4 linked regions of the Drosophila melanogaster genome follow. The protein of the gene in region 1 interacts with the protein of each later gene in a pairwise test. Each region holds a gene or a part of one and is shown in the gene's direction. Other genes may lie near its edges.

Region 1 (6,956 bases):
TCCCATGACATCACCGTTCTGCTGAACAGCAACGAGACTTTTCTGGTGTTCGCCAAGTGAGTTGCCATTGCCGGGAAATCCAAATCCAAAACATATGGCATCGTAAATCTATTGTGCCCATTACAGCGGATTGCTAGACAGCGACGTGGAAGTTGCGCTGGGAACAGATTCGGAGGATCATTTGCTCCTCGATCCCGCAACGTTTGTGTATCCAGCGGGCAGTACTCGAAATCAGTCGGTGGTGATAACTGGCCTCAAAGCCGGCAACGTCAAAGTGGTCGCAGATAGCGATGATGCGAACAAAGAGATGTGAGTAACTTCACGGGAATCCCAACTGTTCCCGTACCTAATTGGAAAATTCACTTATTTTCCAGTGTGAAGGATGTGTTCGTACGCGTGACTGTGGCCAAATCGAGAGCTTTGATCTACACCTCCATCATCTTTGGCTGGGTTTACTTTGTGGCCTGGTCGGTGTCCTTCTATCCGCAGATCTGGAGCAACTATCGCCGCAAGTCCGTCGAGGGACTGAACTTTGATTTCCTGGCCCTCAATATCGTGGGCTTCACCCTGTACAGCATGTTCAACTGCGGCCTCTATTTCATCGAGGATCTGCAGAACGAGTACGAGGTGCGATATCCGCTGGGAGTGAATCCTGTGATGCTCAACGACGTGGTCTTCTCACTGCATGCCATGTTCGCCACCTGCATTACGATCCTTCAGTGCTTTTTCTATCAGGTAATAATATATATAGCAAATACCATTCAATAGCCTTATCGCCGAAGTGGCAACAGTTGTCGCATTGAACACTAATTGCCATCAATCAAAATGCCAAATCATTTGAATCACAGCGGATAGTTACGATATGAAGAGTAGATAAGGTTTTGACTTGTAAAACATCCATACTTTGTTAAATTTGTCCAGAGAGCACAGCAAAGGGTGTCGTTCATTGCCTACGGAATATTGGCCATCTTCGCCGTGGTGGTCGTCGTGTCTGCCGGTTTGGCCGGAGGATCCGTCATCCATTGGCTGGACTTTCTGTACTACTGCAGTTACGTCAAGCTAACCATTACCATCATCAAGTACGTGCCGCAAGCTCTGATGAACTATCGCCGGAAGAGCACCTCCGGCTGGAGCATCGGCAACATTCTGCTGGATTTCACGGGAGGAACGCTGAGCATGCTGCAAATGATTCTGAATGCTCATAATTACGGTAGGATATAGTCTATCAATTTGTGATTTTCGAATGAAATCGTGTCTGGTTTCCAGATGATTGGGTGTCGATTTTCGGTGATCCCACCAAATTCGGACTGGGTCTGTTTTCCGTGCTCTTCGATGTGTTCTTCATGCTGCAGCACTATGTGTTTTACAGGTGATTGAAACATTGTGTGAATATGATACTTAATCTACGATTATGTCATCTCCACTGTACACTTATCATTATTGCTGTGCTGTTTTCCATTTCTCCCCAGGCATTCGAGGGAATCCTCGAGCTCTGACCTCACCACCGTGACCGATGTTCAAAATCGAACAAATGAGTCGCCGCCGCCGAGCGAAGTGACGACTGAGAAATATTAGAGCTGCATTATCATATGTCTGCTGTAGAGAAAGACTTTTGTGCCAGTAGCGCTTTATGTACATTTTTAGAATTGTAAATATATCCGTATGCCGTAGCTGCCTAAGCTTTGTATAATTCGTGCGTTTTAATTGAAATTTAGTTTGACTAAAATTTGGAATTTCACCATTAAATAAAACTTAATTTTTTGTAGGAGCCAGAAATCATACGGTACATTGCTCGACCATTCAAAGGGCTGTGCAGTGAAACCAATTTGCTGCATACGGCGCGTTATTTGCAAACTAATAAATAGATTGAAGTATTGAAAAAATTTCAAAACAGAAATTCTAACTTGCCGCACAATGGGCAGCACTGTTCGCACTCGGCCAAATCCTTATCGATAGCTTATCGATAGCCATGGATATATGACATTAAGTTAGCCAATTTCCGGTTAGTTGACATCCCTGGAGCACGGAAGATTCTTGCGGACACAAATCGCAACTGCTAAATAAAATTTATTTATTTGAGTGCACAGCCATGAGTCTTCACAAGTCCGCGTCGTTTAGCTTGACTTTTAACCAGTGAGCGGAGATATTTTATTCGGTCTTACCCAACAAAATAATGTTGCGCCTTTTTGCAGAAACACTTCGATTGTTTCGCGTAGCAATAGTCGCACAATTTTTGAAGCTTTCAAGGAGTTCCTGGATTTTTGGGATATCGGCAACGAAGTTTCTGCAGAGTCAGCAGTTCGGGTCTCCAGCAACGGAGCTTTCAACTTGCCGCAGAGTTTTGGCAACGAATCCAACGAATATGCCCACCTGGCTACGCCTGTGGATCCAGCCTACGGAGGCAACAACACGAACAACATGATGCAGTTCACGAACAATCTGGAAATTTTGGCCAACAATAATTCCGATGGCAATAACAAAATTAATGCATGCAACAAATTCGTCTGCCACAAGGGGTGAGCAAATTCAAAACACGCGCTCCAATCGATAAACATTGGCTACGGCGATTGTTCGCGCTGCGTGGCGAATGGCAAAATCCAAATAGTCGGTGGCCACTACGATTCTGTAGTTTTTTGTTAGCGAATTTTTAATATTTAGCCTCCTTCCCCAACAAGATCGCTTGATCAGATATAGCCGACTAAGATGTATATATCACAGCCAATGTCGTGGCACAAAGAAAGGTACAGTGCGGCAACAAATTGATGATCGAACAGTAGAAACCTTGCATGTAGCAACACGCTTGTACTTGCATCATTCGCGCGGCCAACTTGTTTGTGTTTGTTTATCCAGCCAAGGCGCAGTTTGCCACTAAGTTTTTATTTCCCTTTTACACTTTAGCACTGATTCCGAGGATGACTCCACGGAGGTCGATATCAAGGAGGATATTCCGAAAACGGTGGAGGTATCGGGATCGGAATTGTGAGTACCTGGTCACGTGGTCACATGTGGTTTGCCTGGTTGCTAACTATTATTGTTTTTATTATTCCAGGACCACGGAACCCATGGCCTTCTTGCAGGGATTAAACGTGAGTTGTGCTTTTAATGTGCAAAGCTATAGCTTACTAACTATTTAATATTATTCCCCGCAGTCCGGGAATCTGATGCAGTTCAGCCAGGTGGGTAACATCGATTAGCTATTGCATCTTGAAGCGCTGGGACAGATCGGCCTGCACGAGGATCAGCAGGAAGCTGGCCACCGCCGAGAAGACATTGCTGATCAGTCGCATGTCCAGCTCGTACAAGCCCAAGGGTTTAATTTGGTACTTGGTCACCGTGACCAGCAGAGTAAAGCCGTGGACTGCCTGACGGTAGCGGCTGTCCGCATGCTGGAGATTCATCTCCTGGAGAATGACTGCCGATCTTCGGGTGGCCACCAATAGGTGGTTGCACAAATGCGTGAGCAATGTGATCTCCGCCAGCGAGATGGAGAGGAAAACCAGATTGATCAGCGATCCAAGACCATCGTACGGCTTGCCCATGATTAAGGTGTCCGCTATGGCATAGTACAGACTGTAGAAACCCACCGTTATTCCGAGCAGGTGGCATATGAGCGACAGAATCATGGACAAGGACATTGGGGTCAGATACTTTCCCGAATGCACATATATCAACCTATAGCGATACGCCAGCTGGTCGAGTTCATCCGCCAAGGCGCAAAATCGCTGCATGCGGTAGTATTTAGTGTACAACTTTAGCTGGTCCTTCCTCTGCAGCAGATTCACCTCCTGCAGCTGCGCTTCCAGCCGTCTGTTCAGAGCGTACAGAATCTCCTTCACCACCACCATTGCGCCAAAGTAGCAGTTATTGAGAAAATTCGAAATAATTAAGGGAAACAGCCGGTACAAGGTCCAGATCAAGCTCATCTCGGGATGCTGCCGCCTCTGTTGCAGTATGAAAGCCACTTCAATTGTTAGAGGAAAAGCCACGGTCTTGACCAGAGCCAAAACGATGGATATGTACAGCGACCTGCTGTCCAGACGGAATTCTTTTAGGGTATCAAAGAAGGGCACTTTGCTCAACACCTTGGCCACATGGTCACTGATTATCATTTGCGACACATAGTTAATAACAGCCACCGTAATGTTCATATAGCTGTACAGAGTGGTGGCGTCCTTCAGGTTGATCTGACCCTCCTGGTACTCCTTGTAGATTTGCCGCCCGTAAACCAAGCTGAATGCAATTGCCCACAGCGAAGCAAAGGCCAGATTTGCCTTTGAGAAGCGGAATCTTTCACGACGGCCCGCCCGATATCGATTGGCCAGGAGTCCGAAGACGGTCATAAAGCCTATCAGTATGATCGTCAGAAATTTCACCATACGCCGATGCGCGTAGTCGCTGGTGAAGTCCATTTCTCTCGAACAATTAATACAAACTGTGAGCGCACTTTCCACAGCATTAATATCTGCTTAATTGTTTTCCAACTACCCAACTGATGCCATCTAGAGGACCTGTCAAGTAGCCGGACACTATCGGGACACATCGCGAAACGCATGTATTTCACCGGCCGTCCAGAAACCAACTGAGCATGCGTTGTGCTACTACTAGCCACAAACAAAAGAGCATAAGAAGCGTGAGGGAAGCGGCATTCCTTGCGTGACTCAGCCGCTGCCTGCAATTTCATAAGAGCGACATGACGTCAAAGTCGCTTCGAAGTTCACTTTCAGTTGGAGGACAGAACAAAACACTCTTATCTAGCCGATTAGCACGGTGCACTCCTTCCCGTCGTCATCGTTTAGCGAGAATTTCAAGCACTTGTGAAAAATAGAATAGAATACAAAACAAATCGCCAGTCCATTTGTAACTCGAGCAAGCTGGAACATGAAGCTCTATCAGCTCTATGAGCGCAAAGTGTGAACCCTTATATGATTGCGAGTTAAGTTGACATTCAAATAATATCTTGTTTTTGCTTACAGCAATCCGTGCTGCGCGAAATGATGCTGCAGGACATTCAGATCCAGGCGAACACGCTGCCCAAGCTAGAGAATCACAACATCGGTGGTTATTGCTTCAGCATGGTTCTGGATGAGCCGCCCAAGTCTCTTTGGATGTACTCGATTCCGCTGAACAAGCTCTACATCCGGATGAACAAGGCCTTCAACGTGGACGTTCAGTTCAAGTCTAAAATGCCCATCCAACCACTTAATTTGCGTGTGTTCCTTTGCTTCTCCAATGATGTGAGTGCTCCCGTGGTCCGCTGTCAAAATCACCTTAGCGTTGAGCCTTGTAAGTGAAGATAACAATACAGATCGAACAGGATTATTTAACTATCATTTGTACAAACCTTTAGTGACGGCCAATAACGCAAAAATGCGCGAGAGCTTGCTGCGCAGCGAGAATCCCAACAGTGTATATTGTGGAAATGCTCAGGGCAAGGGAATTTCCGAGCGTTTTTCCGTTGTAGTCCCCCTGAACATGAGCCGGTCTGTAACCCGCAGTGGGCTCACGCGCCAGACCCTGGCCTTCAAGTTCGTCTGCCAAAACTCGTGTATCGGGCGAAAAGAAACTTCCTTAGTCTTCTGCCTGGAGAAAGCATGGTAAGGTGACAGCAAAACTCTAGATGGCTAGAACAAAGCTTAACGTGTTTTCTTTCTTGCAGCGGCGATATCGTGGGACAGCATGTTATACATGTTAAAATATGTACGTGCCCCAAGCGGGATCGCATCCAAGACGAACGCCAGCTCAATAGCAAGAAGCGCAAGTCCGTGCCGGAAGCCGCCGAAGAAGATGAGCCGTCCAAGGTGCGTCGGTGCATTGCTATAAAGACGGAGGACACGGAGAGCAATGATAGCCGAGACTGCGACGACTCCGCCGCAGAGTGGAACGTGTCGCGGACACCGGATGGCGATTACCGTCTGGCTATTACGTGCCCCAATAAGGAATGGCTGCTGCAGAGCATCGAGGGCATGATTAAGGAGGCGGCGGCTGAAGTCCTGCGCAATCCCAACCAAGAGAATCTACGTCGCCATGCCAACAAATTGCTGAGCCTTAAGAGTAAGCAGTGAATCGGAGGACAAAGAGATTAAGCTTTACTTACCGAACTTTCCTTTCAGAACGTGCCTACGAGCTGCCATGACTTCTGATCTGGTCGACAATCTCCCAGGTATCAGATACCTTTGAAATGTGTTGCATCTGTGGGGTATACTACATAGCTATTAGTATCTTAAGTTTGTATTAGTCCTTGTTCGTAAGGCGTTTAACGGTGATATTCCCCTTTTGGCATGTTCGATGGCCGAAAAGAAAACATTTTTATATTTTTGATAGTATACTGTTGTTAACTGCAGTTCTATGTGACTACGTAACTTTTGTCTACCACAACAAACATACTCTGTACAAAAAAGCCAAAAGTGAATTTATTAAAGAGTTGTCATATTTTGCAAACATATCCTCGTGGTGTACGCCAATGCCCAGAGCCTACTGTACCCCCACCGTGGAGCACATGCTATGTGACATGTGTGGCTTGTGTGCGGTCAATGCACTCAGGATGCAACTCAGCTAGCTAGCTGCTAATATGTCAAAATTGCTGCGTCGCATTTACATACTTTATTTATACCCGTATCTGCACGTCTTTGGTTTTAGTTCTATGCTTTCAAAAAAAAAAAAACAACCTCAAGCAGGGCGCATGCGTTGCGCCAGCGTTGCACATGTGCGAGGATGCAAAAAAGTGCAACAAACACCAGATGTTGACACTGTGCCGCTGCAGCTGCAGGCGACTTTAGCTTTTGCCACATGCGGCAGCTAAATGTTTACTCTAGCCCACCGATCGCTGTTCATTGACCTAGGGCAGGGGCATTAAGTGCGCCCTAATCGTAACGGAATGATAGCCTCTGTGTCCAAAAATTCAGCCAAAGCGGATGCACTCACTTCCATTTGGGGCCTGTCCTTCTTCGACCGGCTGC
Region 2 (7,810 bases), about 11 Mb from region 1:
TAAATGCACCTGAAGAAATCTATCTATCAAATGACGCTGTGCCATCAACAACCACTTCAATCTACTGATAAGAGGAGTATCATTTTCCACAGACCTTATTTGTTTACGTCCCACGAAATCAATGTCAAGTGCATGCTGCATACACACCAATTCTTCTATTTTTCCAACCAACAGCAACTTGTGCGAAAAACTTCCAAAAAACAAAAACAAAATAAACGAAAAATTAAACTGACCACAAAAAATAAAGTTAAATGCAGACATATGAAATCATAAATGATTGTTCATAATTTTAGCTCAAAACGCTGCTGCCAAAAAAAGTTGCCAACGGCCTCGTTTTGGGTTTGGTTAAAGTTTTGAACATTTGCTAATAATAATAACAGCGTCCAAATAATTTATACTATTCATGCAATGAATTCCTACAGAAGCAATCAAAGTTGCACTGAAACTGAAGTATTGAAGTGGAAACTATCGCTTTCGTTTGTTTGTAAAACTGTGAGGAGTGTTTCGCAACGAAACAAAAAAAAAACAAATAATAACTATGAGTTGAATTTACAAGCAGCGCTGCTTAAAATCCGATAAAACTACACTCAAACAAACAGCACCTTGGTTTAGAAAATGTCCGTTAAGCCAATGGTTAAACTTAAGTCGTTACACTGGTCAGCGCAGCTTTCGAGAAATGAACACCAACGAGAATATGGGGAAATCCTGCAGATAATTGATTAGCTGACCGATTTAATCAAGGAATATTTGTATGAAGCGAATTGGTTTTAAAATTATGGCTAAACAGAATTGGAAACGAAAGCCAAGAGAAAAGAATACGAAGCCAGCAATAAAAGAAAGAGTAGATATTGTTTTATACATATAAAAACTCAATAAAAACACTAAATACATGATATGTTAAGGCTTGTGCTGTGCATATGGATTTATTTCAGGCAGCAGAGAAGTATAACCAGTCCCAGCAGGCAGATAACCCAGTTCAAGCACCGCGTATTGTCTCCAATGGATACCATGTGGTAGGTTGGTGCCTTCGTTTCCGGGAAGTGTAGAACCATCAACTCGGGATTCGTGCTGTTCCTTTGCGTGGAATTTTGCTTAGCCAAGCATTCTTTAAGCAGTCTCTCCAAGAAATGGATCCTTTTGTACACGCACTCGAAGCCCGTGTGGTAATCGTAGACTGATGTCCCATTTCGAATGAATTTGCCCCATTTATCCACTAGAAACCAATCGAGATTGTTTAGCCGGCTTCTCCCAATTGTAATGAAGAAAACTCGAGAATCGTTTTCCACATGGAAAAAGGCGTACTTGTGGTTTTCGTCCTGATTGTGGTAATGGGGAAGAGTATAATACGTTGAAAGTGTCTTTTTCTTTGACCTTCTTTCGTGTATGCCCCGGCACAAAAACACGAATGTCTTATTCTTGATTGGCCAGCATTGTGGGCTTATTCCCATGTTTACATGAAAAGAAAATGAAGGAAACTATGTTTGTGATAGCAAAACTAGAAAATGTAATACAGTTTAATTAAGATTAACATTAAAAACCAGATAATTATGATTCGCAACTTTCCAACTAAGAGTTTCTTTGTATGTATATATTAAGCTTCCCTAAACAGTGGTAAGTAGTGGTAGTATAGTTTCTAACGGTATATTTAGTGCCAAAATATTTGAATTATCAGTGTGGCCATACTGCGCAACTTTAGTCTACGAAAGAGCTAGCTAGCTTCTATGCGATAGTATCGCCATCATCGCCGAACTGCAAGTTTTTGCACCGTCGAAGAAAAAGTTGTCTAAATATTTCAGTTCGGTGTTGTTACTGCTATAAAATCCAGTAACACATACAAAATGATTAAATCGTGAGAACATATATATCGCAAATTTGCATGTGCATAATGTAAATTTGTTCCGGACAGCAGCTGCGAATGAGAATAGTCCCCCGCCCCCGCGAAAAGAATTGCATTTAAACTCCCTTGTGTTCCCCAATAGCAGCTGTTGGCCTGCCAACCCCCACCACCCACTCTCTTTGTTTTGCCCAATCGGAAATCCCCACCCGGTTATTCGCGTAATCCCGGCTTTAGGAATTAAGAAAATTACCAAAATCGCAATATTTCTGTGTTACACATATAATAGAGGTAAGAATTATTTTGGGGACATTTGTTATCATTGAACAGCTGTTCATAGTTTGCCCACAGCCGAACAGCTGATTTGGCGTTTTCCCCAAATTGAAGTCAATAGTATCGAAACATTCAATATACTTAAAGCTGAATGTTATTCGTAAATTTTAATTTAAGTTAATACAAAATAAACGCATCAGCTTAATATCAGCTTAGACATATCGATATGCTGACATATCGATACAACGCTCATCCCTATTGCGTTGGCTAAAATAAAGAACTGCTGAACTTAATTAGTAATAAGTTGTCATAAGTTATTTAGAGCTTCCGTGGAAACCCCCATCATCCCAGTGCATGGAATCCGATAAAAAGTTTTCACTTTTCACTGCGGCGCTTGTGTTTTCCCCACGTAGCTTTGGAATTTCCTGCTAACGGCGATGAAAAACTTGACGGAAAAGTGGTGCTGACAAAAGAGTGTGTATTTGACAAGCAAAGAAAAAATTTCCGTCTTCAAACTTTATTTTGAGCTTTAAATCGTTTTTACTCGCTCGAGAACTGTGCAAATAATAGCCCCGAATTTCCATTTGGAGTACCTAGAGTACATAGCTGGCAATAGCTTTGGAACCCAAATACTTAACCCACTGCTTGTTTTTGTTTCTGTTTCCGGACAAAAAAAGCAAACTGGTCTCTGTTAGACAGTTGTACCTCCTCATACCCGTAAATTAAACATTTTTTCGTACATATACACAATTTTAGCGCATTTTGGCCTGCATGCGCTGCAACGCACCTTTGCCGTTCTGGTAACGTTGCCCACTAGACGACTGAAATGGATAGCTTGGAGAACGACCAGGAGGAGCTGCACCACCAGCCGAGGGTCACCTTGGCGTACGGCAGTGTGGCCACCAGTTCGGGTGGACAGGAAAACCGTAAGCTGGCCATCATCTGGAACCAGATAGTGCTAATCCTCTTGTGCTTTTGCAGATTCCCAGTATGCGATGTACTATAATCAGCAGAGGGATTCGGAGGGCTACATGCTAATGACGCCCTTCCTGTCCAGTTCGCAGAGCCACAGCCACACCCGTTCGCCGCCCACGTACACCGCCATGGTGGAGCCACGTCGCGAAGAGAGTTCTGGATTTGAGGGCTTGGCCAGGCGGTGTGACAAGTGCAGTTCGCTGGACGGACTCTGCCGCTGCGAATCGATGGTGGCCAGTAGCAGTCGCTATGCGGACTCCACACAGAACCAGTCGCATTCGGAGGCTCAGTTCTTGGAGCAGCCCTCATCCTCCACAGCGGCGATCGCCAATCCGCCCGCTGTTCATTCCATTCCACGACCCAAGCGAAAGAAGACTGAACCCCTGACAATGGAGCCAGAGAGTGACAATGACGGCGACGCGGTGGTTGCGTCCGTCAGCGGCACATGGCCTGCCGGTGCTATAGAAGAGCATGCTATGGACTCTACGGCGGTCGTTTACGAGGTCCCCTCTAGTTCGCTGCAGCTCAGCAACAGCTCCTTCGAAACCGCCCCAAGTGCCGTAAATGCTTACGATGATGTGACATCGAGTGCCTCGGACACGGAGCACGGCCAGTTTGCTCATACGCGTACCACCAACACCACGACGACTACGTCTGCCGTTCAGGCTCACAAGAAGAAGGCCAGCCGCTCCAATAATGCCTCCAACACCTCTTCCAGAGCAGTAGATACGGATGCCACGCCAAGCACGAGTGCCCAATCGAGAAAGCGACAGATGAGTCAATTTTCTTATCGCAAATCAAGGGTTTTGGAGCCGGAAAACGAGAGCAGCGATGATGGCTGGGATTTGCGTGTGCATAATCCCGTTCCACCAATTGAGCCCACAGTAACGATTATCCGTGGTAGCAGGGGGTCCGACGAGGCCGAGATAGGTCATACGGATCACAACTACTATAATAGTCGGTGCGCTGTGGCGGGAGCTCCACCGGATAGTACCTACATTAGGTCAGCCTCCTGCTCCACGGCCACCCATACTACACGTAGCGTGGATTATGGATCTCGCATTGGTCGAAGGTCGGCTGCAACAGGATCACCGTCCACAAGCTCGGATCAAGAACAGGAGCAGCAACAGCGCCAACAACAGGAGGAGATTATTCACGAAGAACGGCGTCATCAGCAGTCACCAGGCCAACCCATGCACAGTATGTACGGTGTTCCCGGCGAGTCTAGAATGTCATGGAGTCGTGCGCGGCCCTCTGACGACTCAGTGCCGCCTAGGAAACATGCGCGCATGGAACTGCCCGGAAGATCGCGTTCCAAACTGTCCTCAACGAATTTTAATTCGTTCTATCCTGGAAGGAGAGGACACCGAACCTTTGCGGAGCAAGGGAACAGTTCTGGGCAACATCATGTGCGGTTTCCACCATCCTCGACGCCGAATTCGAACGGGCCCTGTGTGATTACGTACGTCGGCCGGCCAAGAGATAGTCAGCCCGCCGCGGATCTCAATCTTCCGTCCACATCCACGGGAAGACGTGGCAGCCATGAGACCCGCGCCGATTCCGTAGTCTTGACGGCACCAGACTTGCAGCTGGATGATTGGTCATCGGACGATGATGATGATGACGTAGTATTTGTGCACTCCACTCGTGAGCCCATACTCTCAATCGATTTGACATCCGACGACGATGGCTTGGCCAATGATACGCAACTGCAGAGGGATAGGGATAGGGGCCGTGAAAGAGAACGGGAGCGAGCAAGGGATCGGGAACCATATCGTAATGACACTCAACCCAACCCGGAGGATCCAAATGAGGATAGGAGGACCATGTATGACTGTGCTTACACATTCCCCTATGCTCGCAGGACAGATCGTCGTACAGAAGCGAATAATGAGGGCACCTCTGCATTCGCATTTTATAGTGGCGCTCTAGCTGATCGGGCTGCCATTTCGGACCACAATTACAGCTACGAGCTAGACCAGCTGATGGATCCCGGCCCCGGTAATTTTTACCCGCCCCGCTGCTCCAACATGGATCCACAGCGCTACTTCCTTCCGATAAACGAATCCTCGATGTGGATGCCAGGCCATCCCGCTCCCCCGCCACCTCCGCCCCCGATGCCCCCAATTTTGCTGCCTGACAACTCTTCCACTGAGGCATACTTACGTCATCAGCAAAGAAATCTTACATCCACTCCAAGCAGCTCGTCCAGCGAGCAGACATCAACGCAGCAATCCCGCCACAGGCGAAGTAGCCCGGCGAACGTGTATCATCGTTACCATCCGTACTATTATGCGATAACAACGCTGCCAACTGTGGTGGAGTCGGACTACCCGCCGAGTCTCCAGCCTCACCCTCACCCTCATCCTCATTTTCAGCCCAGTCAAGGCGGAAGCAGTCGCAGTTCTTTGAGTGGAGCTTTGAATGCGGCTGCAGTGGCAGCCACAGCGGCGGCGGTACAGGCACAAACTTTTAGTGATTTGCTATCACAGGCCCATAATGAGGGACGTGCTGCGGCCCTGGAAGGCAACCGGACACCTCCACATACAATGGTGCATGCGCAACACCAGCAGCGGCAATCCATTAATCCGCCAGCGCCAGGAGTGGCATCAAATGCAAACCTGGCGGCAGCTGTTTCTCCACCACCGCCGCTTGAAATGTATTCCGGACGGAGCACCATTCCGCACTGCGGATCTCCGCCGTTCAGTGTTCGACGCTCCGAAGCTGCGTATAGCAATAGACAGCACTATCAGCCGCAGCCGCATCAAGGTCACCAGGCACCGCAGAACCAGATGCACGCCCACATTCATCCCCCTCACCGGGCCAGCGCCATAGTGGCCACCTCGCTGACGCCGGCTCCACCGTATCCGGTCCATCAAAATCTGTGGTACCGCCAGCAAAGCATGCAGGAGATGCACCGTCGCCACATGACGCCCACACCTATCGATCTTTCTTCGAATGCTCCGCTATTAACGAGCACGCTGCGAAACGGGTACCTGCATAGCATCTGCAGTTGTGTTCATGCTCGGAACGGTCCCGTATCAAGCCTGGATCCCGCTTACTATCCGCCGTACGACGCTGCACCGGCAGCTGCTGCTCCTCCACCATCTCCTCAACAACAGTCGCCTGCTACATCCGGTTCTGGCAATAGTAGCGTGGCAGCACAAGCGAGTATGCGACATCTGCAGCTTCAGCCCCAACAGCAGCCGCAGGCTCAGCAATCGCCACCAGTAATGCAGCATATGCAGCGCCAGCGGGCCATACACCACCACATGTTCCATCACCACTACTCACCACTGCATCTGGAGATTGGGCTGGCCCCCCTATCTCTGGGCTCCCGTATCCTTATCGCACCATCACGTCCAAACCGGGGAGCTACTTTGGTAAGGCCGTATAGAAATCAAAGTCATACCTATTTATATTAATTAGTTTTTACGTTTATTTCAGGAAACTATTGAGCGGAATACCTTGCCTCACAAATATCGACGCGTCCGAAGACCCAGTGAGACCGATGAGGATGCCGAGAAGTGCGCCATTTGCTTAAACCTCTTTGAGATAGAGAACGAAGTTCGGTAAGTTCAATGTGGACGTTACCTTATAAAGTTCTCTAATTATATTAAATAACAATTGCAGCCGCCTGCCGTGCATGCATCTATTTCACACGGATTGCGTGGATCAGTGGCTAGTCACCAACAAGCACTGCCCCATTTGTCGCGTCGACATCGAAACACACATGCCCAACGACGCTCTTCCCCCCAGCTCCAGCGGAGTCCCAGATGCCGCCAATTCCGCCGCATTATGACATTGTGTGCACGGCATCTTTATGTAAATCCCTCAGACTGAGTTTGTTCTCGGCATGCATCGATACAAGAACAAAGAATGAAATATTCGTAAAAACCCCTATATACATACCTTAAAATGTTTAACCCACCGCAACGTATGTAAAAGGCAGTTGCCACAGCTTGCTGCCGTGTTGCGCTGAAAGATATCAAAAAGCTAAATTTGTTTGGCTCAATTTCTATGTCTAAGTATATTAAGTGATTCGGCAAATAATTTCCTATACATATGTACAAATTGTCTACGTTTTGTGAAACAAAATTCTTGTGATAAGAATTTCATAAATATGCGTATATTGTTATAGTATAGAATTCCCACGACGGGCGTATATGATAACTTTGACCCCAGCTTGTTGTTATATTTTTAATGATCACACAAAATAATATAACATCGGACCCTAAACTTAACCGATTAGAAATCGATTTGGCAATTTGCATTTTTCTTGAGTAATTATTTGAAGGACTTAAAATCTGGACGATTTCCTCTCATTATTTAACAAATTTTGTTATGTTTTGATTAGTCACAAAAATGTAGAGAATAATCTTTTATTCTATTACCAAAGACCCTAGAATAATTCTATTCTATTCTAGTGTCTTTGCTATTACCAAATTATATATAGTACATCTATTTAATTTAATAGATTACGGATTATTGCTCAATATCTCATAACGTGCCATATATAAGTGAATTGATTCGATGCAATTTTTTAAATCTTGAGCTAACATATTTTAAAAAGGTTGGTTTTATATTATAGAAAGTTTCCTAAAACTTTTAAAAATTGGCTGTCTAAGACGGCAGAAATCAATAAATAATCCAATAAACGTCTGTTGATTTTTATTCCACCGATAAAAATACGATACACCTTTATTTCTGTTTGGGGTTTACATATTT
Region 3 (7,727 bases), on another chromosome or scaffold:
GTCAAAATAATAATACCGAGGTTAACTAGAACGTCTCATATTTTCTAAAGTATTCACTTTTTCAAAATTGAAAAGAGTGGCCAAACGTGGGCAAATAAAGACAACAAATGAGCAAACGATTCCAGCTTTTAAATTTCAAAAATTCCATTTTTTCGACTCCAGCTTCTTTGAGCTCGTACATTATGCGCAAAATGAGAAATCTGCGCACTGAAGTGTATTCGTGTTTTTGCTAGTGGTTGATTGATTTTTTGTGACCGTATGAATATTGAGGGTGCGTCGTCGTTGGAGCAAGCGTCGCAACGGCATGAAACAAACTCTTACAGACTCTGTGACTGAGTCTTAATGCTTAATATCAATATTCTAGTTTTCATTGTTCCCGAGATCACAGCGTTCAGATTGATAGTCAGACGGACTAACCAGTTACTCGATAACTGACCGACTGCATATGAAATCTTCAGTATATGTAAGGAAATACGATACCTATACACCTATTATGGTTAACATAGGTGTAAACGTGTATTCGTTGGGAATCAGATTATCCACCCTTACCTGATTCTTAAGAGTTTCGTCAATGTGAATGGTAGACGTCTTCCGAATCATGTCATGAGAATATTTAAAGTTAACGGGTCCTAAGATCCCGCTCTCTATGAAAAAATGTTTTGCTTTATCAATGCTCGAGTTCAATGGTTGCATTTTTTAGTTCTTATTAGATTAAAAAAGGAGTAAAACGTTGGTCAGATCAATGTTGATGGAGATCTTCTTACTCATTTATACTGAGTATTTCAATAACTAGCTGAAAAGTTTAAAGGATTTGAGCTTTAAGTAGAATAAAACTTTTTATTAGACTTACACATATACCCAACACATGCAAATGTTCATATAGTTGTTTTATTTGTTAATTTTTATATTTTACATTATTACAAATACAAAATATTAAGTGCCGAAGATCTGTCGCACGCTTCTTTGTGTGAATACTCGACTAGAACATATATGGGAAACAATACCTAACCCAATAAATGTCTTAAGATATAAGTTTCTTCTAAACTGATCGAAAATATAACTAGTATTCTATCAGTAGTTTTGTGTCATTATACATTATACCCTCTTTCCACTAAATTACCTGCATATATACACATGTTTGGGATATAGTTCACATGATATTTTTGAAGCGATTTTAGGCTTAATGTTATTTTATTAAATTTATATTTATATATATTATTTATATTTATAATTATATTATTATTTATTCGGTAATTTCATAGCTGTTCTGGGCATTACTTTCTTTCCACAATAAACATAACATTAGATGCTGTTAAAATTTGTAGTAAGTAATCGTAGTAATAATAGTAATAGTAGTAGTAAAACTAAAACATTTTTACGGGTAACAACACAAGACTCTCGTTTCACTCTGCATTCAAGCGCTCTATTATTAAACAAGCTCTAATTATATTTCCATCGTTCAATATCTATTTTAAAGAATAGAAGGATTAGAAAACTTTTTCGTCTTATTTTCAAAATTTGTGTCTTATTCGAACACTAACAGCGAACATACCGAAAGCAAACCTTTTATCTGCCCTTATAACCACTTTCAAACCACATAAAAAATTGCAGTTTGTTTATGTTGGTCAATCAATTGAATTTGATTGAACCCCATGATTACCACTTTTGGCATACCCCAAATATCGATATATTTCCCATCAAAGGCAAAATCGATAAGTTATCGTTAACTAAACATCCACAGATTGTAGTTCGTCTAATAAAGGTGTAGACACCAAGTCAATTAATTTTAATAACAAGAGGAAGTTCGTGGGACGGTTAAACCTATTCACAGCATTTCCAAGGTTTTCTAAAGAAGGTGTACCTCATGAAAGAACATGATGGCAGACAGATACGCTTCAGATTTGGCCCTTGTTGTCGTTGCGCAGATAACGCAAACTATTGGTTACAGCTGCACTCTAAGTGCACCCTTGGAGTTGTTGCAAGACATATTGCAGAAGTTTGTACAGGAGTTCGCTCGAGACATGCATAGACATATGGAACACGGTAAGTGGTATAGACCCTCAAATCAACGGAACCGATCATGAAATACAACAAAGCCTGAGTAGTTATAGTCGTTACTTGTAGAATAAGAGATTCAATAAAAAGTATGTGACATATATGTACATGTACATAAATGTATAACTTATCATCCCTGCAGTTCCATCAGACTATCATTAATAAATCATTATTTATCATTAAAACAATTTTGTTTGGAGTTAGGGCATTTTGCTTTCAGTTGCGTTAGAATACCGGTCAACCTGTCCGTTTAACCTTAAAGTAAAATATATTAGTATAATGTGTACAGAAATGTATTACGAAAAATGTACATCGCTTCTGCGAGTAGTACGTGTTGTTGCGTGTAAAATGAATCCATTGCCATTGGAATTTCCTGATTAAGCTCGCGCCTGCTACTCGCATAAATCTAGTCCCAGTTATCCGCGAAAAAGGAAGCGTGCCTCTTAGAAAAGTAATCTTTTAATTTATTTCTTTCTTTTATTGTTATTTCCCTTTTCCTCGCCCAGTCCCTTTCACCTACATCAGTATATAATTTCTCTAGTTCCGATGCGCATTAAAAATTTAAAGTTTCTTACGAAACTTATGTGCTCGGCGACTTAGAGCGTCAGCTTAGCATTCGGCTGGAAATAAAAGATCCATAATTTATTGCTGATTCCCTGCTTGTGGCTGTGCAGCCAAAGCAGTTGGTACTGTGGGCGAAACCGATGATCTTGGGATGTTTTTAAGGAGCGATGAATTGTGGGACTGCCGGGGTCTCGATTGGGGATTATGAAACCTCAATAGGCATGTAGATTGTATTTTTTGCAAATTATTATTTCATTAATTGTCTTGTAAACACCAAAAAAAAAAAAACAATAAATCTTTGATTTATATATATCTTAGATTAAGATATATCTTAGATTAAGATATATTTTAGATTAAGATATATCTTAGATTAAGATATATCTTCCTTGTAACCACCGGAACAGAAATAAAAATAAATAGTTGAGGAACTCGACTAAAGCGTTCTCTTATATTTTCTTTTTAATTTTGCTTGGTATGTTACTTAATAACGTTATTTATATGAGTTCAAAAAAATCTTATTAAAACCAAACAAAAAATCAAAAATGCTTTGTTTATTTGGATAAAATTTATAAAAATATTAATTGACAAGTATATATATTACTAATTTAGCAAATCGGATAGAGCCGAACCTTAAGGATGCACGCTTAAGTATAAAAAATCTCAGCATCAATGTTCAAGAACTATTGGACTACATAGGTAATGTCGAGCCTGTTGGATTCATCCGGGATGTACCACAGTTTCCCATTGGAAAATCTGTAAACATGAACTTCCTTAAGCCTGGAAGCGCTGAAACTCTAACGCGACCTGTCTACATATTTGAATACTTGCCACCAATGCAGGACCCCGAACTTCGTGAAATTCCAGCCGATGTTCAAAAGGAATTTTCGGAAAAGCAAGAGTTTTGTTCAAAAGCAGAGTATAGTTCAACAAACGCAGCTGATAAGTTAGGCGCCAAGCACATTGATTCTATCTCTCCTAATACTGTGATAAATTTCCGGTCGAATGCCTTTGAATTGGACGTTGGGAGCTCAGTCCGCGAAATGAGCAGCGTGGTAATGACAACAGGGGGATTCATAAGTCCAGCTATTGAAGGCAAGCTCCCCGAAGATATCATACCGGATATAGTTGGTACGACCTATCCTTATACCACAGCTTAATAAATTTTCATGTATCGGTGTTTATAGAAAAATTTTTAGGTTTGGATGCACCCTTTTCACCGACGATAATTGTAAATTCGTTACAAAAATCTCCACAACTGGCGCTTTCTGACAGAGACAAAACAGTAAATCCACGAAAAATCATTCCCTCAGAAACTAAAATCTTCAAACAAAATGCTGCATTATTGACAAGTGGACATTCAGAGTCTTCAATAATATATGCGTCTAACAACCATACGATGCTAACTGTTACAACACCTAAGAAGAATAGAAAACAGAAACATGATTTAATATGCGAACCCGGTCAAAGCGAACTTCTAACTAATCCGTTTGAAAAAGCTCAGGAAAAGTCACAGAGAAAAGCTTTAAAAATGTATAAACAAACCTCAAAGAACCAAAGAGACAGCTCAATTAATCAAATACAAAACATGAAAAAGTTAAAAAAAAAATTTAACCGCGGATCCTTCGATCCAAATAAAAAACATTTAGAAAAAATATTTAAGAAGCAGTCCAAACTTAAGCAAAATGATCTTCAACTGGACATCGACGAAAAACACTTTTTGCAGAATTCTCAAACTACGAGCGGCCTTGCCATAAAAGCTAACTCAAATGAAAATGCTTTACAAGCTGATATCCCTAGTCAGCCGCCAACAGTAACAAGCCAGATTGAAAATAATTTTCGAAATTCAATTTATCCAGTGCAGCCATCTGTAATTCAACAAACGCAAGTGCTATTGGCAGAAAAAAAAAGTGGATCAGAACCAGAACGAAGTAAATTGGACATTTTTAAGAAAATTTCTAAGCCACGTACTCCACGTCCAGATATTGGGGCGACTTTAGTACCTCCTGGAACCGGGGTATCTGTATTTGGAAGCACAATGACCCCTTCAGCATTAATTAGTCTTCCATCGGGGACTACTATAACTCCTACACCTTCACTTGGTCTAAATTCTGAAAACAAAAACGTTCCGAGTATGAAAATCAACCCTTGCAATATATTCGATGGAACTATACCTTTAACTAAAGCAGGCGTTGAAATGTCAATTATTGATTCGCCAAAGCCAAAAAAGCGAGGTCGCAAACCTGGAGGAAAAAATGTAATAAAACAAACAAATGTTGTATCGCAACCTTTAATTAATAAGGTCGAACGGAAAAAGTCAAGCCAAGCTATTACACTGCCTCTATCATCATCTCCAATGATAATAACCCAAAGTTCTTTAAACGTCTCCCCGCCAACAGAACCTCTCAACTTGTGTAATACCGAACAGCCCTCGAATAATTTTTTGTCAAACCTGTATGCAAAAGAAAAAAAGGACAGAAAAAAGTACAAATCATTACCAGAAAATGTAATGCAATTAGACAAGAGCTGTTCTCCTGAAAAGGCATCAACACTACATAATTCTATTCGACCCACAAAACAAAATAATGATGTACAATGTTCAGATAAATTTGTGACTATATCCAATGCTTTGTCAAATGCATCAATTTACCCTGGAATTCAAACAGGAATGGTTCCGTTGCTTCCTTTATTGCAATTTCCACCACGACCTGGTCTTATTCCTACTGGACCTGGGCTTTTTCCTGCAGTCACTGGTTTAGTTGGCTTCGGGAATCACGGTAACAGAATACCTATTTCGCCGTTCATAGATTATCCTGGACCAGAAGAATCAGTTGCGGATACTGTTCGATGTCCACCAATTAAGGATTCTCCTGGTACGTCAAATGAGTTATTTTTATACGCATTGCTCGTAGTATATATACGTAGTATATATTTTCGTGACCAGGATCAATAGCCGAGTGGATCTGATCCTGTCCTGTCCGTCCGTATGAACGTCGAGATCTCATGAACTATAAAAAGCTAGTAGGTTGAGATTAAGCATAAAGATTCTAGAGACATAAACCCAGCTGAAGTTTGTTGACCCAAACTTTACTTTACCATACCAGTTCGAGTATCACAGCTCGAAGAATATATTGCTTACATAAAAGTCTCGGCAATATCTTAATTCATTACAGCAAAAATACTAATCTGAAACTAATCATTGAACCGTTGAATGTAGAAAATAGGTATAGGTACACACTCAAGAAGTGGTATTGGGAAGCTTCTAGATGGGTTAGTATGAAATATTTGCGTTTGTCATAAACTAGATATTTGGAGGAGCTCAAATTTTTTTTTTATATTGACAATACGTACCTACCTACAATATGTGAATTATTTGTCGACCAAAATATTTAAATATTTATAATGATTAGAAAAAATAATTTTTAGTTACTGATTCTGATCAATTTCTGAGCCGATCTTCCACGCAAACTGACTTGCAAATGGATCGAAACTACTGCAATGTTGCTCCATTAGTACCTGACTCAATGAAATTCGCCGAGTGTAAGTTTAACGGTAAATATATTTGTAATTTAAAAATAACTTATTACTTATATCTGTAGGTAAAAGCGTATCTTGTGCCAGCACAATATTGGAAAACCCATCTGCACAGGCTACAAGCAAAATAAACACGAAACCGCTTTTGGAGGCTTCTGGAAATCCTGATGATCCAATAGAGGTTTCAGATGATTCAGATGAATCAATGCACAACAGGCAGATGGTTCAAAGAAAAACCCCAATATCATCACCAACTTATGTTAAAACCAGCTTCGCAGAACTAAATCCCTCCTCGTTTACGTCAGCTGCATCTAATGGTGAAGAAAAATCCAAAATGGATCTAAGGAATATTGTGTCTCTAAGCTCTAACGAACCACTTAAAAAATTTAAAAAACTTGTTAAACAGAGTTTTCCCGATGTAAAAAGCGTACCCCACACGCCAGCTTCACATTCATCATTTCCACAATTTAACTTGCCTAATTTTATGGGAGGTGACAAATTCAGTTTAGCTGGGGGAGCAGATCTTATTCCTCTGTCGAGAGTGAGTGATTCGGAATATTCCTCCAAAATAGTACCATTCAGTAGCTTAGGTGGAACCATACCGAATCAAATCAAAATTTCAGAAGAGCACAATATTTTTTCTACCTTTTCTAACTACGAAGATATTACAATAACACCAACTGGATTAACGTCGTTGGAACCGAAAATGCGGAAACATCACAAAAAGCTAAAAAAGGTTAAAGAAGGGAAAAATAAAAAAAAGAAAGAGAAAAAGGACAAATCAAAGAAAGCGGATCAGATTGGCTTACCATCTTTCAAATCCGACCGGAAAATAAAGGCCAATGATAAAAGGCAAAAAAAAGAAAAGAAAAAGGATAAAGATAAGCAGGTTTGTGTCAATTCTTTATTTATAAAAAAATAGGTGTTCGTGTTGTGGTATTTGGATCAGATATGTAGATACGCCGGAGCTGATAAGCAACCTTTGCGATAAGTACGTACACAAACTCATTTGAAAACAGCAAGTTATGTGGGAAACATTTTTAAAATCATGAATTCTGTGAACATATTCCGTATAATAACATTAAATTATGCATTATGCATTATACATTATACATTATGTTCCAAATTTGTATTAATACTTATATAGACTGTTGTGACTAATTATAACATCGAAGCCTACAGCTTGGTATAGGTACAAAAACATCTTAATCCTACATAAACATGTAAAGCAGCCAAATCTTTTAAAGTTATATTTTTAGTTCTTACAAATTTTATTTTAGTCTATACACATATCTCAGCAAAATCTTTTAAAGTTAAATTTATAGTTTAATCAATTCTTATTTTAGATTTTAGTCCATATACCAGATGACACAGAAGAATTTGACAAGGTGCCTTTAGCTAACAACGATGAACCTGTATTGAAATCAAGTTCCATGACAATAAATCCATCGTTAGGTGCCGCCACAAGTGGAATATCTCCAAATCAAATACCAAAACTAACACTAAAACTTAGTGGAAAATCTACATTATTTTCGTCTTCAGAAAAGGAGATGACAGATGCAGGGAAACTAAAGCAA
Region 4 (4,831 bases), on another chromosome or scaffold:
CGAATTACTAGCGATTCGAGCGATAGTTTTCTCTCAGTGCCTCCGCGAAATGTTTAATTTTAGAACGATATTCCGCTATTAAACGAGTCCGGGCAATTTTCGACCGAGTGAACTGAACTGAACTGCACGCGCCAAATGCCGACTAGCATCTGAGCGCCGAGGAGCAGAGACTGTAAAGCGGAATTTGAACCGAATCGCCGAGTTGCACTTCGGCAGAGGCGGAGGACTCCGTGCCGGATGCAGACTGTGATAACATTTTCCTGAGGCTCTGCGTTCTCAAGAGTGCTCGATATTAGTTGGCCGGCATGTGACTTGAAGCCTATGGATTCTGAATGGGACGGTCGGATGGATGACTCTATATCCAGCATATAGCATCGTATCCGTATCAAGGCCGAAACACTTGTGTTGCACCGGCATTTTCAATGTATTTTCAATGCGGACGCAAAGCGAGCAAAACAAAACACAACAAGCATACGCCACGTTGCACTTGCACAGCATCAAATGCCCTGCCATCCTCATTTTTAATGCATGAGGGGGTGCTCCCTCCACCCGGCCACACTCCATTTGTTTTTCCAACCATCGCTGTGGATTGCGTAGCGATTGGGGGCTGCAGCTCCGAAACTGTTCGCTTAAGCGGTCGGTGATAAGACGCGAAATCAAATTTAAAAGCTATCAATTTGATATTAGTTCGGGGACCGACGAAAATCCTTCGGGGGAAAAGCTGCTGCCGCGTGCCAGAATGCAGAAATCGGAGTTTTTCATGGGGAATTCGTTCACGGAAAAACAAAAGGAATATATTTGAAATATAAATTTATGTTTTATTGTCATATTTTTCACTGGATATGACACTAATTTAATTCTTCTCTATCTGTCAGTCTACAGATATTTGTTTGGGTTTATGCAAAAAAAAAACCAAAAAAAAAAAACTTTTGTTTAGCTCCTCTCACGTATTTTATTTATAACTAAACTAAATATATGAAACGCTGTTTTCTCAGTGCATCCTATTTGTGTTTTTGCCAACATATGCTGCAGCTCATAAAATTTCTCCGCTTTGCTGCAGTTTTCATTTGCCTTTTTTTTTCGGCAGCTCTTTTTTGGTTAGCTGTCGAAGTTTTGAAATCAATTTGCAGATGATTTATTATGTTCCCAGGAACGAATAGGGGGCTTCAATCGAGGAGGAGTCTGTGCATACGACATTGCAAATGGAAGCCACTGACGTTGATGAATGCCGCTGTGTATTGTTTTGCTGTCAGAAGCGATCAAATTTCTGTTTTGGAGCACGGAATTCCAGGTGAAGCGGAAAATTTGCAAGTTATGCGACAGTTTTATGCGCCCATTTTTTGATTGGCAGCGAGGATTCGCAAATTGATGGCACGTCTCGGGGCAATCGGTTTTCTCAGCGGAAATGCCAGTTGGAAATGGGAACTTAAGATACTTAAAGAAATGCATCAAAAATAATAGGATAAATATTATATATTTATAGAAATTTTTAAGAAATATTAACTCTTTATCAACAGTAAGCATTTTCAAAAAGTAACCGCTTTTGCCTAACAGTGCTGCCCATCTACAATTGGTTTTCAGGCAGCACTATGCACACGGCAGTACAGCTGTTACTTATCGGTGCTATCGATAAATATCAAGGACTCAAAAATTGGGACTAATAATATTAAAAGAGCAAGCTTAAACTTTAACATTATAACTATTAAAACTGGATTTACAATTGTCTTACGTTACTTTAAAGTATAGCAGTTGAAATCGATTTAGTATTGTCAACGCGCGCTTTCCCACACTGCTCGATAAGCATATGTTTTTCTTATCGACATTTGTGGTAAATAAAAAGTGCAAAAACCGCTGCTAAATCGGTCAAGAAGTGCAATGATATAGCCGCCATATCTGATATGTCCAAGCGCAACATAACGTACGTAAAGCCGCAAGAACCTAGTTTTCTGGCCAAGTTGAAGGCTGAAATTGGCTACAAGGAGGGACCCACCGTAGAGACCAAGGTGAGTTCTACGGGGAAGGCCTCTGCAGCATTCTAATGCGGATATATAACCATTGGTTAGCGTCAGCGATTGGATCCGCAGGACCAGGAGGACTACGATTCTGAGGAAGATTCACGGGAGGACGAACAGCCGCAGGTGGTCGTCCTTAGGCCGGGAGATCTATCCGCCGAAGAGGCCAAAACGGAGAAACTGTTGGCCTCCAAAGGTCGGTACATATGTACAAGCATACATACATACATATCGCTGTAGTACATACATACTTACACGCTCGCACACGCACACACACATGCATATAGCCCACGGTGGCGGCGGCGGCAGTTGCACGTGTGTGCGTAGGTAGGATGTTGTAGTTTGTCTTTCAGTTTAACTTTTCAGTCAGAATCGAGCGGTTGTCTTCTTCTGCCCGGCGTTACATATATCTAAATCATATATGTATATATACATAACTGCGTATATACCGTTGCTTATGTATGAGTGCGCGCGTGTGCTTGTGCATTTTTGCCAAATGAAAATCTAACGGTAGTGCGAAAACAGCAGTTTGTTGCAAGAAGTATGTGTTTTTTTTTTCGAAAAGCACCTTCGGTTTTTCAATCTTTTTAAAGCCCTATGTTGCCATGGCAATCTTGGTCATTTCCGTCCTAAAGATTCCCTTTTTTGCCCAGCGGAGCACCCCTCACACAGACACACACACCCGCAGCAGCTAGCCGACGAGGCATACACACTGACATTTTCATTGGGGGCTCCGCCAAAGCAGAGCATGTGATGAAAATCGTTGGCAAAGCGGGCGCGGCGATAAAGCAGCCGGCAAAGAAGTTAACAACAGCAGCTGCCGCCGCTCGCTTTGTCCGCCTCTTCCGCTCGCCCCCCTGCCCCTTTCAGCCCCACTTGGAAGAGCGCAGAAAATCGGGTGAAAACAACGTGTGCAAGAACGAACGGATGAAGGAGGCGGGCAAAGCGGAGAGACAATGATGAACGAAGCAGGCGAGCAAAGAGGAAAAGAGCGGGCCAAAGTGGCTTGACGACGTGGTGGCGGTGGCAAAGGCGCTGCGGGGAGGGGGTAGGCGTTGAAGAAGGGGCTGGCGGAACAGCGGGGGCGGGTTGCGAATCAGTGGGTGGAGCGGGAGGGGGAGTGAAGCGGGAGCGTCGGGCGAGAAGGGGCTTCCCAGGGCCGAGAAAAACATCTTGTGGGTGCTGCTTGGAAAAGGGGGGGGTCGGTGGGTGGCTTGTTCTGATTTACACCTCCCTCCTCCCCATTTGTCATGCTGCAGTTTTTAAAACCCAGATACATTTTCCAATCCAATAATGAATTGCTGGCATATTAGTCACCTTCCTGGCAATTTTATAAGCAGATCAATTTTCAAAAACTTTCTTGTATTCCTTTTAGTTAATGCAATTTTTAAATTTATTTTATTTATATCAGCTTTGATATATGTATTGGCATTTTTCTCCCTAAATTTGTGCATACTACTTTCCCCAAAATATTTTTCATTCTAAGATAGTTTATATAACTTAAATACTCCATTTAACTTGTAAATAGGTGTTTACTTACACGCTTTACTACGATCATAATAAGTACAGATGATTGCTGACCCATAACTAACTCCCATTTTCAATCTTCCAGAATTAGCCGAAAAGCGAGCGGATCTGACGCAGCCAATAGTCTTCAAACACTGTGTCAAGCAGCCCAACATCGAGAAAAAAGAGTCCCAATCTGAAACCAACAAGAAGTCCGAAAAATCCAGCACATCCAAGAGCAAGAAGTCCAAGGCCGCCAGTAGTAAGCTGTCCTTCAACGAGGACGAGGAGGACGAGACTGCCGAGGATTGAAGATCACACCTTAGTTATCTGGCTATAAGTTGAACCAACCAAGTTAACCTGCAGCGAATGATTAAGGTGAGAAATTCAGGTCAAAAACAGCAAATGATTGTTAACTATGCTTTGTATTTCTTTGTTGCCATGTGAATTTATGAGTTTAATAATGGGGTTTCCATATGTATGTGTTAAAATCCAACTCGCAATGACGCTGTCATCATAGATTGTAGATTTTTCACCAAAGAACTAAACTGTATACTCAAGTTGATATGATATAGTATATATTTGAGTTTTTGCATTAAACATATGCATGTATTGCTGATTTATTGTTATTTAGAAATGAATCATTGAGATTAGATCATGGTTTTGACACGTCGATCGTAAAAATAATTATAGAATTCTTTAAAGATCCCTTAGATTCCTACAACATGATTTTTTCCTAAAGCTTTTCCAAATTTATGTTTTTTAAATAAGTGTTACACGTTTTAAGTAAATTATTAGCATACTAATTATATTTATTATTATCACGTAATGTACTTTACGTGAATCATACTACTTGGAAAAATATTAGTGACTCAAAACCGAATATTTGTGGTGAAATTTTATGTTATTTTCTTCTTTTTTTTAATGTATCTAATGTTACATTTTTCCATTTCAATTGTGAGTTCTTAGTTGGGTTTGATATTCAATCCCAATACAGATTGATCTTAAATCTTGATCAAAGTCCGAAATCTGCTAGAGAAAGTCCTCGGACAACAGGATTATCTAAACTCTGATACCTAATATCTTATAATTTAATCACTTGATTAGAAGAAATGTGGTAAAGTCCTTTTTGATACATGCGATCAATCTCTTAAATTAGTATCTTGTATCTTTACTTTCGATTCAATTGACTTCACCTCTAAGATATTAAGACCCAACTGCCACAGTAATTTCCGCTTAACTTTGTAAATTTGCACTGGAAAATATGAATTGGCTAATTTACTCGATATCGAAAAGGGTCACGTGTATGTATA

Evidence for each region.
Region 2: the proteins of p53 (region 1) and CG6923 interact in a two-hybrid assay, tested with the Drosophila melanogaster proteins (2 studies listed by BioGRID).
Region 3: the proteins of p53 (region 1) and Taf3 interact in a two-hybrid assay, tested with the Drosophila melanogaster proteins (2 studies listed by BioGRID).
Region 4: the proteins of p53 (region 1) and MEP-1 interact in a two-hybrid assay, tested with the Drosophila melanogaster proteins (2 studies listed by BioGRID).

The regions. Positions count from the first base shown.
Region 1 is NT_033777.3:23,049,142-23,056,097, reverse strand, and holds p53 (p53), read left to right. Parts: upstream 1-2,015; 5' UTR 2,016-2,089; coding exon 2,090-2,133; exon of another isoform or gene 2,134-2,192; coding exon 2,193-2,516; exon of another isoform or gene 2,517-2,703; coding exon of another isoform or gene 2,704-2,741; exon of another isoform or gene 2,742-2,898; coding exon 2,899-2,979; exon of another isoform or gene 2,980-3,049; coding exon 3,050-3,086; exon of another isoform or gene 3,087-3,149; coding exon 3,150-3,176; exon of another isoform or gene 3,177-3,182; intron 3,183-3,194; coding exon of another isoform or gene 3,195-4,409; intron 4,410-4,867; exon of another isoform or gene 4,868-4,878; coding exon of another isoform or gene 4,879-4,908; intron 4,909-4,973; coding exon 4,974-5,283; intron 5,284-5,347; coding exon 5,348-5,594; intron 5,595-5,656; coding exon 5,657-6,051; intron 6,052-6,110; coding exon 6,111-6,133; 3' UTR 6,134-6,441; downstream 6,442-6,956. Other genes in the region: Ctns (cystinosin), read left to right, coding at 1-56, 127-309, 375-735, 922-1,210, 1,267-1,369, 1,470-1,575; Gr94a (gustatory receptor 94a), read right to left, coding at 3,195-4,409.
Region 2 is NT_033777.3:11,744,013-11,751,822, reverse strand, and holds CG6923 (uncharacterized protein), read left to right. Parts: upstream 1-1,793; 5' UTR 1,794-2,125; intron 2,126-2,334; exon of another isoform or gene 2,335-2,581; intron 2,582-2,797; exon of another isoform or gene 2,798-2,863; 5' UTR 2,864-2,933; coding exon 2,934-3,033; intron 3,034-3,088; coding exon 3,089-6,465; intron 6,466-6,529; coding exon 6,530-6,654; intron 6,655-6,715; coding exon 6,716-6,884; coding exon of another isoform or gene 6,885-6,911; 3' UTR 6,912-7,340; downstream 7,341-7,810. Other genes in the region: CG43062 (uncharacterized protein), read right to left, coding at 924-1,448.
Region 3 is NC_004353.4:460,817-468,543, reverse strand, and holds the start of Taf3 (TBP-associated factor 3), read left to right. Parts: upstream 1-1,715; 5' UTR 1,716-1,874; coding exon 1,875-2,043; intron 2,044-3,228; coding exon 3,229-3,747; intron 3,748-3,803; coding exon 3,804-5,489; intron 5,490-6,042; coding exon 6,043-6,156; intron 6,157-6,215; coding exon 6,216-7,039; intron 7,040-7,130; exon of another isoform or gene 7,131-7,496; coding exon 7,497-7,727. Other genes in the region: CG33941 (uncharacterized protein), read right to left, coding at 550-693.
Region 4 is NT_037436.4:2,629,914-2,634,744, forward strand, and holds the start of MEP-1 (MEP-1), read left to right. Parts: upstream 1-1,801; 5' UTR 1,802-1,898; coding exon of another isoform or gene 1,899-2,003; exon of another isoform or gene 2,004-2,063; coding exon of another isoform or gene 2,064-2,208; intron 2,209-2,361; exon of another isoform or gene 2,362-2,553; intron 2,554-3,624; coding exon of another isoform or gene 3,625-3,830; 5' UTR 3,831-3,896; intron 3,897-4,831. Other genes in the region: CG42245 (uncharacterized protein), read left to right, coding at 1,899-2,003, 2,064-2,208, 3,625-3,830.